2 linked regions of the Oreochromis niloticus genome follow. The protein of the gene in region 1 purifies or fractionates together with the protein of each later gene. This does not show direct contact. Links are inferred from orthologs where the notes say so. Each region holds a gene or a part of one and is shown on either strand. Other genes may lie near its edges.

What was found.
Region 2: the proteins of ikbkb (region 1) and prkcq purify together in Homo sapiens (affinity purification with western blotting; 4 studies listed by BioGRID). This does not show direct contact. The link is inferred for Oreochromis niloticus from reciprocal best matches to the Homo sapiens genes IKBKB and PRKCQ.

What each region holds. Positions count from the first base shown.
Region 1 is NC_031977.2:25,966,441-25,970,365, reverse strand, and holds the start of ikbkb (inhibitor of nuclear factor kappa-B kinase subunit beta), read left to right. Parts: upstream 1-1,056; 5' UTR 1,057-1,237; intron 1,238-3,220; 5' UTR 3,221-3,237; coding exon 3,238-3,342; intron 3,343-3,925.
Region 2 is NC_031981.2:17,752,684-17,756,608, forward strand, and holds the start of prkcq (protein kinase C theta type), read right to left. Parts: upstream 2,926-3,925; 5' UTR 2,838-2,925; intron 1-2,837. UniProt on the Homo sapiens protein: Calcium-independent, phospholipid- and diacylglycerol (DAG)-dependent serine/threonine-protein kinase that mediates non-redundant functions in T-cell receptor (TCR) signaling, including T-cells activation, proliferation, differentiation and survival, by mediating activation of multiple transcription factors such as NF-kappa-B, JUN, NFATC1 and NFATC2.

The sequences.
Region 1 (3,925 bases):
AATTATTCTTAGTTTAGTTTTGTCGCTTTATGTCTGTAAAAGGCGCTTTATGTATAAATATTACTTTTTCTGTAATTTTTTTACTGCACAGAATCTGAGCATCTGGATTTGATTAAAGCTCTACAAGGGCAAGATCCAGACAGAAAAGAAACCAATGAAACTAAAGAGGGGCAGCCAAGAAGGAGACATGCAGTAGGTTAATATGAGCTGTCAGGTCGTGATGCAGATGAGAGGGGAGAGTCAAGCAGTTTGGGAAGTTTGATTCTACAATAATGCTGCTGTACCCTTAGCAGTGATATCATATATACATTCATGCAGTGGTTCAGTGTTTACTGCCTCACAACAAGAATGTCCTGTATTTGAAACCGGGTCGTTCTTCTTGTGTCAGCGTGGGTTTCTCCCACACTCCAAAGACATGCACAGAGTTAAGTTAATCAGCAATTCTAAATAGAGCGCAGGTGTGAATGTGAATGTAATAGCCCTGACAGATCCAGGTGTACTTATTTCTTGAATTATGACAGCTGGGATGGCCTCGCCCACAAGAAAAGATGGCCATTGTTTTTGAAAGCATTTGATCAGCAAGATTATTTTCCAGAAAGATGAGCAAGGTCACATTCTTCCTCGATGACCCCGTATTTCATTTTTCTAGTTAAAGAGAGACACTGAAGTGACCTTTGTGGGTATGACTGTTTGGACGCCACATTGCTACTGTAGAAAGACACAAATGATGCCACATTATTAATGTACATGACGGAATATGATTTAAGAGTTACGATAATTCGTCACTTAAACATTTAAACTAACTTTTAAACTAAAATAATCAATTTTTTAAAAATGTAATAAGTTTTTTTTTCTATTGATGTAGTATTTGTTTCTAAATTGAGTGACTTTCTACAATTATGATATGGGTTTCTTAATTTAATTTGGGGGAATTAAAGAAAATTTCCGTTTAGTCGTGATTAAACTCATAATGTATGGTTTAAAAGTGCATAAACCTACCAGCAGGACATAATCCGAGGACTTTCCCTACAAGTGGGCGGGTCTGTTTCTTCGTCAGGTTAACAGGAAATATCAGTATCAGGAAGTTGAGTGTTTGGAGATTTGTTGTGTCGCCAAATGTGCTGCAGTAGTTTTTATTAAAGTTTTACTCATTGAAAGCTCGGATACACACAGTAAACCTGCCGTTTAAACACAAAAAAGGCGTGAAAACGCGTGAACGCTGCGTGTGGAGTCTAAGGTAGGACTTAGGAGTTGAAATGTTGACGCTTTTCTCCTTGAAAATAAAACCCGAAGACTAGTTCCAGCTCATTTTATATGAACAAAGAAGTACAAAAGAAAAGTACATTTTTGTGTGTCGGTGAATAATATTTTTATAATGAGTAAAAGGTTGGCGGTATATTTACTGTAAGTCAGTCTATGAAGCTTAAAACGAAACCCCTCAAGCATGTAGCGCCCCTGTAGTGTTTAATGGGCCTCTTAATAGTCTGCGACTATATGACAGCTAGTTTTCTTTATATACACGTAGCGGGCTTTTTTTTAATAAGCTGGACTCGCCTATAGGAATGTTTATATGTATGTTTAGTCTCTTTTATTGCAGCTGCTGTAAAACATAAACTCAGTGTTTATGTAGTTTCACAGTTTGGAGAGCTTTTATCTCATCCATCAGACCCCTACAGTCACATTTATAACAATACTGATAATACAATAAATTCCCAATTAGATTTTTTTTTTTCATTTTTTATAATAGGTTAATTAGCTTATGGGAATTCATACAGCTTTTTGTTACTTTTTTTTGCTTTCTAGAAGCCACCAACACTGTTGTTTCTGTTTCTGTATACACGTGTTATCACCTACAGGACAAACACAGCATTTCTTTTCTTACTTTCCCTGACCAATAGGCAAGTTACTCATTTTTACCAAATTAATGTTTTACTCTTGGACATTTTACTCTTACTCTTTGGACATTCGCTGCTTTTTCTCTCATTTTTAGTCTAGTCCTTGTACCTGATCATTTTCAGGGGAATGTTTGGTTTGTTAAGCCACTTAACAGTGGCCTATGAATCATTCAAAAAGGCACCTAACCCAGAAATGAGCCAGTGTTTTGTTTACATATAACATAGCAAAGAACTAACTTAAAATTGTATATTCAGACGCTAAAGGTCTTTTGCAAAAACACATTTGTTCCCATTCCTTTAGATGAATTTACAAACAAAACAAAAACAAGGGCATAAATGTTGGGGATAAAATGTTTATATAATGTTTTTGCATCAACCAAGTGATTCCCAAACACCGATCAGTCAAACGGTTGGCATATTCTGGCATAGTGTGCAGTGTGTTTGAGGAAACTGGACAAGTGGAAGGCAAAAGATGAAGTTGCAAGACTAAAACTCATGTTCTTAGAAATGGGAAATAGTCCAGCAAAGACCTGACACAGAAGCTGCGAGATGCATCCTGACCTTCAGTCGATCCACCTAATGTTCACTGACGCCTCATCAGAAATGGTCTCAGTGGAAGCGTGGCTATTCTTAAGGAAGGGAAATGGGGAGAAAAGGCCAACACGAGAACTGAACTGAAAAGTTAGTGGCAACAGCTCTGACGGAGTGATGAACCAGACCTGAAAATTCTAGTTCCAGTCGTCGTATTGAGTGTCTACAGCCATCTATAAAACACGGTGGAGAGTCAGTCATGGTTCTGGGCTGCATTTAATGGAATTATGAACACAGACAAGTACTGTCAGACTTTGAGCCATCACACTGTACCATCTGGAAAGAATCTAATTGTCTATGGCTTCGTTTCTTTCAGTAATCCCAAACAGTGCTAATGCAGGAAAGACAGACCTGGGTAGAAAAACACAAGATAGGAAGCTTTCAAGATTGTTAGAATCGTAGAAACTGTTATGTTATTTTGTATCTCTATGTGTGTTTGCATGTTTCAATCAATCAATGCACCTATTATCAGTTTTGCTAGCAAAATATAAAAGGTTGACTCAAGACCTTTGCATGTTCCTGTACAAACCAGAAAACACTGTAGGTCTCAGAGCTGAGAAGCTTGAAACAAGGCTTTTTTTAGGCATTCGTTCAAGACGAAGCAGTTAGTTATTTGCTTGAGTACTGGTTGCATGCTCAGACAAATGCATACTCCCATGACATTTTTCAGGACAAACGCAACATTTTAGCCTTAGTAATGGGTCATGACGGATCCACTATTTTTGTTGTTTTAGGTGTAGGTGAGGAGGTCATGAATCGAGTACCCCTGCAGCAGCCGCAGAGCTGCGGGCCCTGGGAGCTGAAGGAGCGGCTCGGCACCGGGGGCTTTGGGAATGTCACAAGATGGCAAAACAAGGTATTCACTCCACATACTTCTAGCATATTGTTACATCTTTGAGAATCTTATATCTTTAGGACATAATAGACAGGAAAGAGGATGTTTGAATAACAAACTATTACACTGACAAGATAATTCAACATGTCCTGCTGGAGTTTCCGGGAAGCCATCGGCTCTTACCACTGCTGATCAAATTTTAAAGTTAAGGTTTTGTTTAGATGCAAATAGTCATTTTAAAATGGAATCAAAAATGAAACTTCACTTGTGTGTTTCCCTCTTTGTGTTTAGTAAAACTTTAAAATGAGGAAAACTTCCTCAACCTGCTGAGGCAAATCTTCCTTGTTCCTCCTACAGCGAAAGCTCATGTAAACAGTATAATGACCGTGGAGGTGGATTAGCTGTAGGGTACAAATTAAACTCATCTTTTAGCTAATGTTTGTTTGTATTTCACTAAGATGACACTCGTGGAATTGTGTGAAAGAATGTATAAACAGCTCTCACTGGATTATTTTGATACTACAGAACTCTTGAGGATAAAAATATTAGGTCCCCTATGAAATTCTAAGTATTTTAGTTTTTAAAAGAGTAAGTAATTTTTAAA
Region 2 (3,925 bases), on another chromosome or scaffold:
GTCATATTTTACTTGCTTAATTTATAAAGAACTGATGAAGGTTAAGTCCACACATGCTGCTTTTAAGTCAGATTTTTCTTTTACACATAAAAATAGGGAACTAAGTATAAAAATAACTGTAATTCGTCAACAAAATGTATTATTTTTGTTAAAACCTAAAGCCTGCTTTTAATAACGCCTACCATAAATAAGGTTTTTGCTGAGTTTTGTACTTCTTAACTTTATCTCTTGCTGGTTTTCATAGCTGTGAAAGTTATTTGTGAGGTGTTACTTCAGATTTGAAATGAGAGCCACCTTGACTTGATCTGATTAAATTTACATATGCCACATTTCCAATTACTGGCCTGGTGATATGAGTCAGTCACCTACCAGCAAAATCTTCCAGGCAGTGCTGTACTGAAAATGCAAATTCAGGGTTGTATTAGACTGAAAAGAAGCATGTTAATAGGAAATGTAATTCTGCAACGGAATCACCCAGTAAAAGCTGAAAATCTATTTGAATCTATCTGTTTCTGCAACTGCAGGTGCAGCGAGCCAGTTGTTGTTGTTGTTGTACTGATAAAAGAAGAGTGAAGGAAATAAAGTGTGCGCTCCTTACCCCCACCTGTAGTTTTCTTTTTAAAGCACACTGATGTGCATAACGAGCGATAACAAGCAGGTGGGGAGCTGATTACAAACTTAAACCCATTCTTCAAACCAGAAGAGCAAACTTTGAACTCCAGTGCTGTGAAATTTATAGACAATGATGCAGAAATCATCGAATGTGGTTCCTTTTGAGAAGAAAATTGCAGGAAAAAGTGGCAGCATTGAAAGAGTTGGAACGAGCTGATGCTGTCGGTCAGTGAGAAAAAGGCTGATTTTAACAACCTAATGGGGCTTCAAGATTTAAGATGTTTGTGTTTCCTACACCTCTGTGGTGTGATGCTCATGAAACACTCACGTTATTTACTTAAATATACTTTCTAAAATAACACAATGGACTTCAATAAACACCAGATGCTGCACAGCTTTTGAGTTGATGCCCATGATGACATCCTAAAGGCATTGCCCTCTTTTTGTCAGAGCAACAGCTCTCTAAACCTAAGTGGATTTAAGCAGGACTAACACAGGGGTCATTGTTAAAATAAGCTGCCCCAATCCCTTTGATTACTATTTAGAACTATTTTCCCTCACATATAAGAACACAAACACACTTTTGTGTTTGTCTTCGAACAGAAGCCGTCAGATCTCTGTGATGCACTCGTGTGGGTGATGTTTATCTACTTCCAAACAGCCAAAATACAGAATAAACAGACTTTACTTTGCAGTGTGCGCTATGAGAAAACACAATGTGTGCTGGCATCTGAGGTGCCACCACCCGTTGTTCCTCAAATGCCAACACCCCCCCCTTCGCCCCTGCCCATCCTCAAACCCACTCATGGAGGTACAAAGAAGGTCAAGTGCGAGTGATCCGGTGCTGGAGACCTTTCAGAAAGCTTTCATGAGAGGGGACAAAGTCTAACGAGCCTCCCACCTGACCCTCTGTACCCAGCGACATCAAAGCACAGCATGCGCTTGCTTTCTGAAGCAGCTAAAGGAGGAGGCTGGAGAGCTTTGTTGTTACTGACAGGGGGTCCATGTGTGTGGCAGAGGCCTTTCACCATACAGTAGCTGCTGCTTCGACACTCAAAGCATCCCTGAAGCGGTCACTCATTTAAAGACACACAAAGAGCTGACCCTCAGCAGCTAACGTCAGCGAAATACATTGCTTAGTTTGACACTGCGACTACAGGCCAAAACCTTTAAAGGTCAACCTACACTAATGGCTTCATTAGAGGCTAAACCATAGCATGCAGACACAATATTGCACAATGCTGGCCCACATTATTGACCAATATCAGCCTATTACAGACATAGTGGTGCAGGAGGAACTTCTACATAATATAATGGAAAAAAAACTGTGGCATTGTGAACTCAGCGCTATCTAAACTAAACAATAACACCATAATTGTTTAATTTCAATGTAACTCTAACAGACTGCATGAATATTTCTATAAAAAATGGCAGATGAATAAATATATAATTTTTTTTTCCGAGTTTCTCAGTTTAAGACCCCAAAATCCAGCCGTATTGATCAGGTTCTTATGATTTACTGTGTAAATTGGCTCAAATGAATTTCCGCTCAATCAGCTCCAGACAGTAAAATGCTGTGAGTGTATTTATGTATGTTGATGCATTTTCTCATACTTTAAGTTTAAAATGATGTCACCATTTTGCAATTTATCACCTTTACTTGTGAGTTTGTTATTTATAGAATTGTTTTGTTATTTTTATGTATTGAAAGACACCTATAAATAAATTATGCCTTATTTTATTGTTCAGTATTATGGCACAAACTACCTAAATGCAGAAGTGGGTAACCCCAGATCAGCTTCCTGTTTACACAATAGTAGTAATAATAATAATAATACAGTAGTTAATCCACAAGGAAACCCCTACATGTAAGTATTTTTAGTTTAGCATTTTTAGTGTATTTGTGTTCATACAAATGTATAGTTACTAAAGGTGTTAAGTGTGACTCACACCCACATACACACACGCACACCCACACACACACTTACACAACTTTATAATACTCTAAATACAGATGTTTTCTTGTCAGTGAATGAATGCAGATTATTTTCACCCGTTCTGTGTTTCTAAAAATAACATCACCACCTAATAGCAAACGTGCGTTTCGCAAATTACAAAGCAGACGCTTAAAACCTAAAAAGTGTGGAGAAATGTTTTTCTCTCGCTCTAGTTATTGACTAAAGTTCAGAAAACTCGGGGTGGAAACCAAAGGAAAGTGTACTGACCTTAGAGACACAACAGTGCCCGCTGAAGTTTAGAGCTCGCAGCTGAAGCTGCTCTCCATCCGAGCGTTTGTAGACCGGAGGGAGCACAGTGGGCGCATTTAAGCGTGATATCACGTGGCGTTCACGGACTGTAAGGATATTCTCACTTCATGAAAGCGGTCTGAAGTGATCAATCAAATTTACTAAAACAGCATAGATGATGTTTCAGTTTTGCTGCTTTACTGCCTATTTGAACTAATAAATAAATAGTTTAAATAGGTGGTCAAAATTAAAATACGATAACCAATTAAATGAAATGCATCATACCAAATACTTTACCTAAGCACAACTCTGTCCTTCAATAGTTTTGGTGTCAGCTGATTTTCCCATTGGCTTAGAAATATTTATTTGCAGAAGTTGCATTTCCGAGCACACAGTGAACGCAACTACCCCATCGCAGCGTACGAAGTGAAACTTATTGGTGAAACTACATAAAGAAAAACACCCTGACTTCAAGGCAACATTCAGAGAGCTTTGATGGAAAAGTTTTATTTTTAATGTTTGCGAGGGAGTACCCAAATTAGCATATTTAATATCAACCCTTAATATCATTGTCGATTCACCTGCTTTCCCTGTAAGTCGACTGAGAGACGACTCTAATACACATGTAGCTCATATGTTGTGGGTTTGTACAGCTGACTGCCTAATATACTGTGAAACCTTTAAGCTGGGCTGCTCGGTGAGTTGATAAAGGAGCAAACATCCTACAATAACAGAAATGCTGTTGTTGGTAGTATTAATACCCAGATCACGTGGTTACCTGGTGCTACCTGGTGGATAAACAGGAAAAAGACAAATAGATTTATTCTGTGAAAAGTATCACTGACTGGAGACACTAATTCAAGTGCATTTATTTTTAAAGTTGTGCTGTAGTCATTTTTTCATGTCTGTTCTCACTATTTCTCACTTTAAACTGTGGTAACTGTAAACATATATTGGGCAAACTTCAGACTTTTGAGTTCTTAGAAGCATAAAAGCTTCTCTTTTTATAGGAAATGTAGTAATTAAATCAGAAAAAAAGGATATATTTGGAGTTAAAGTAGAGTGAT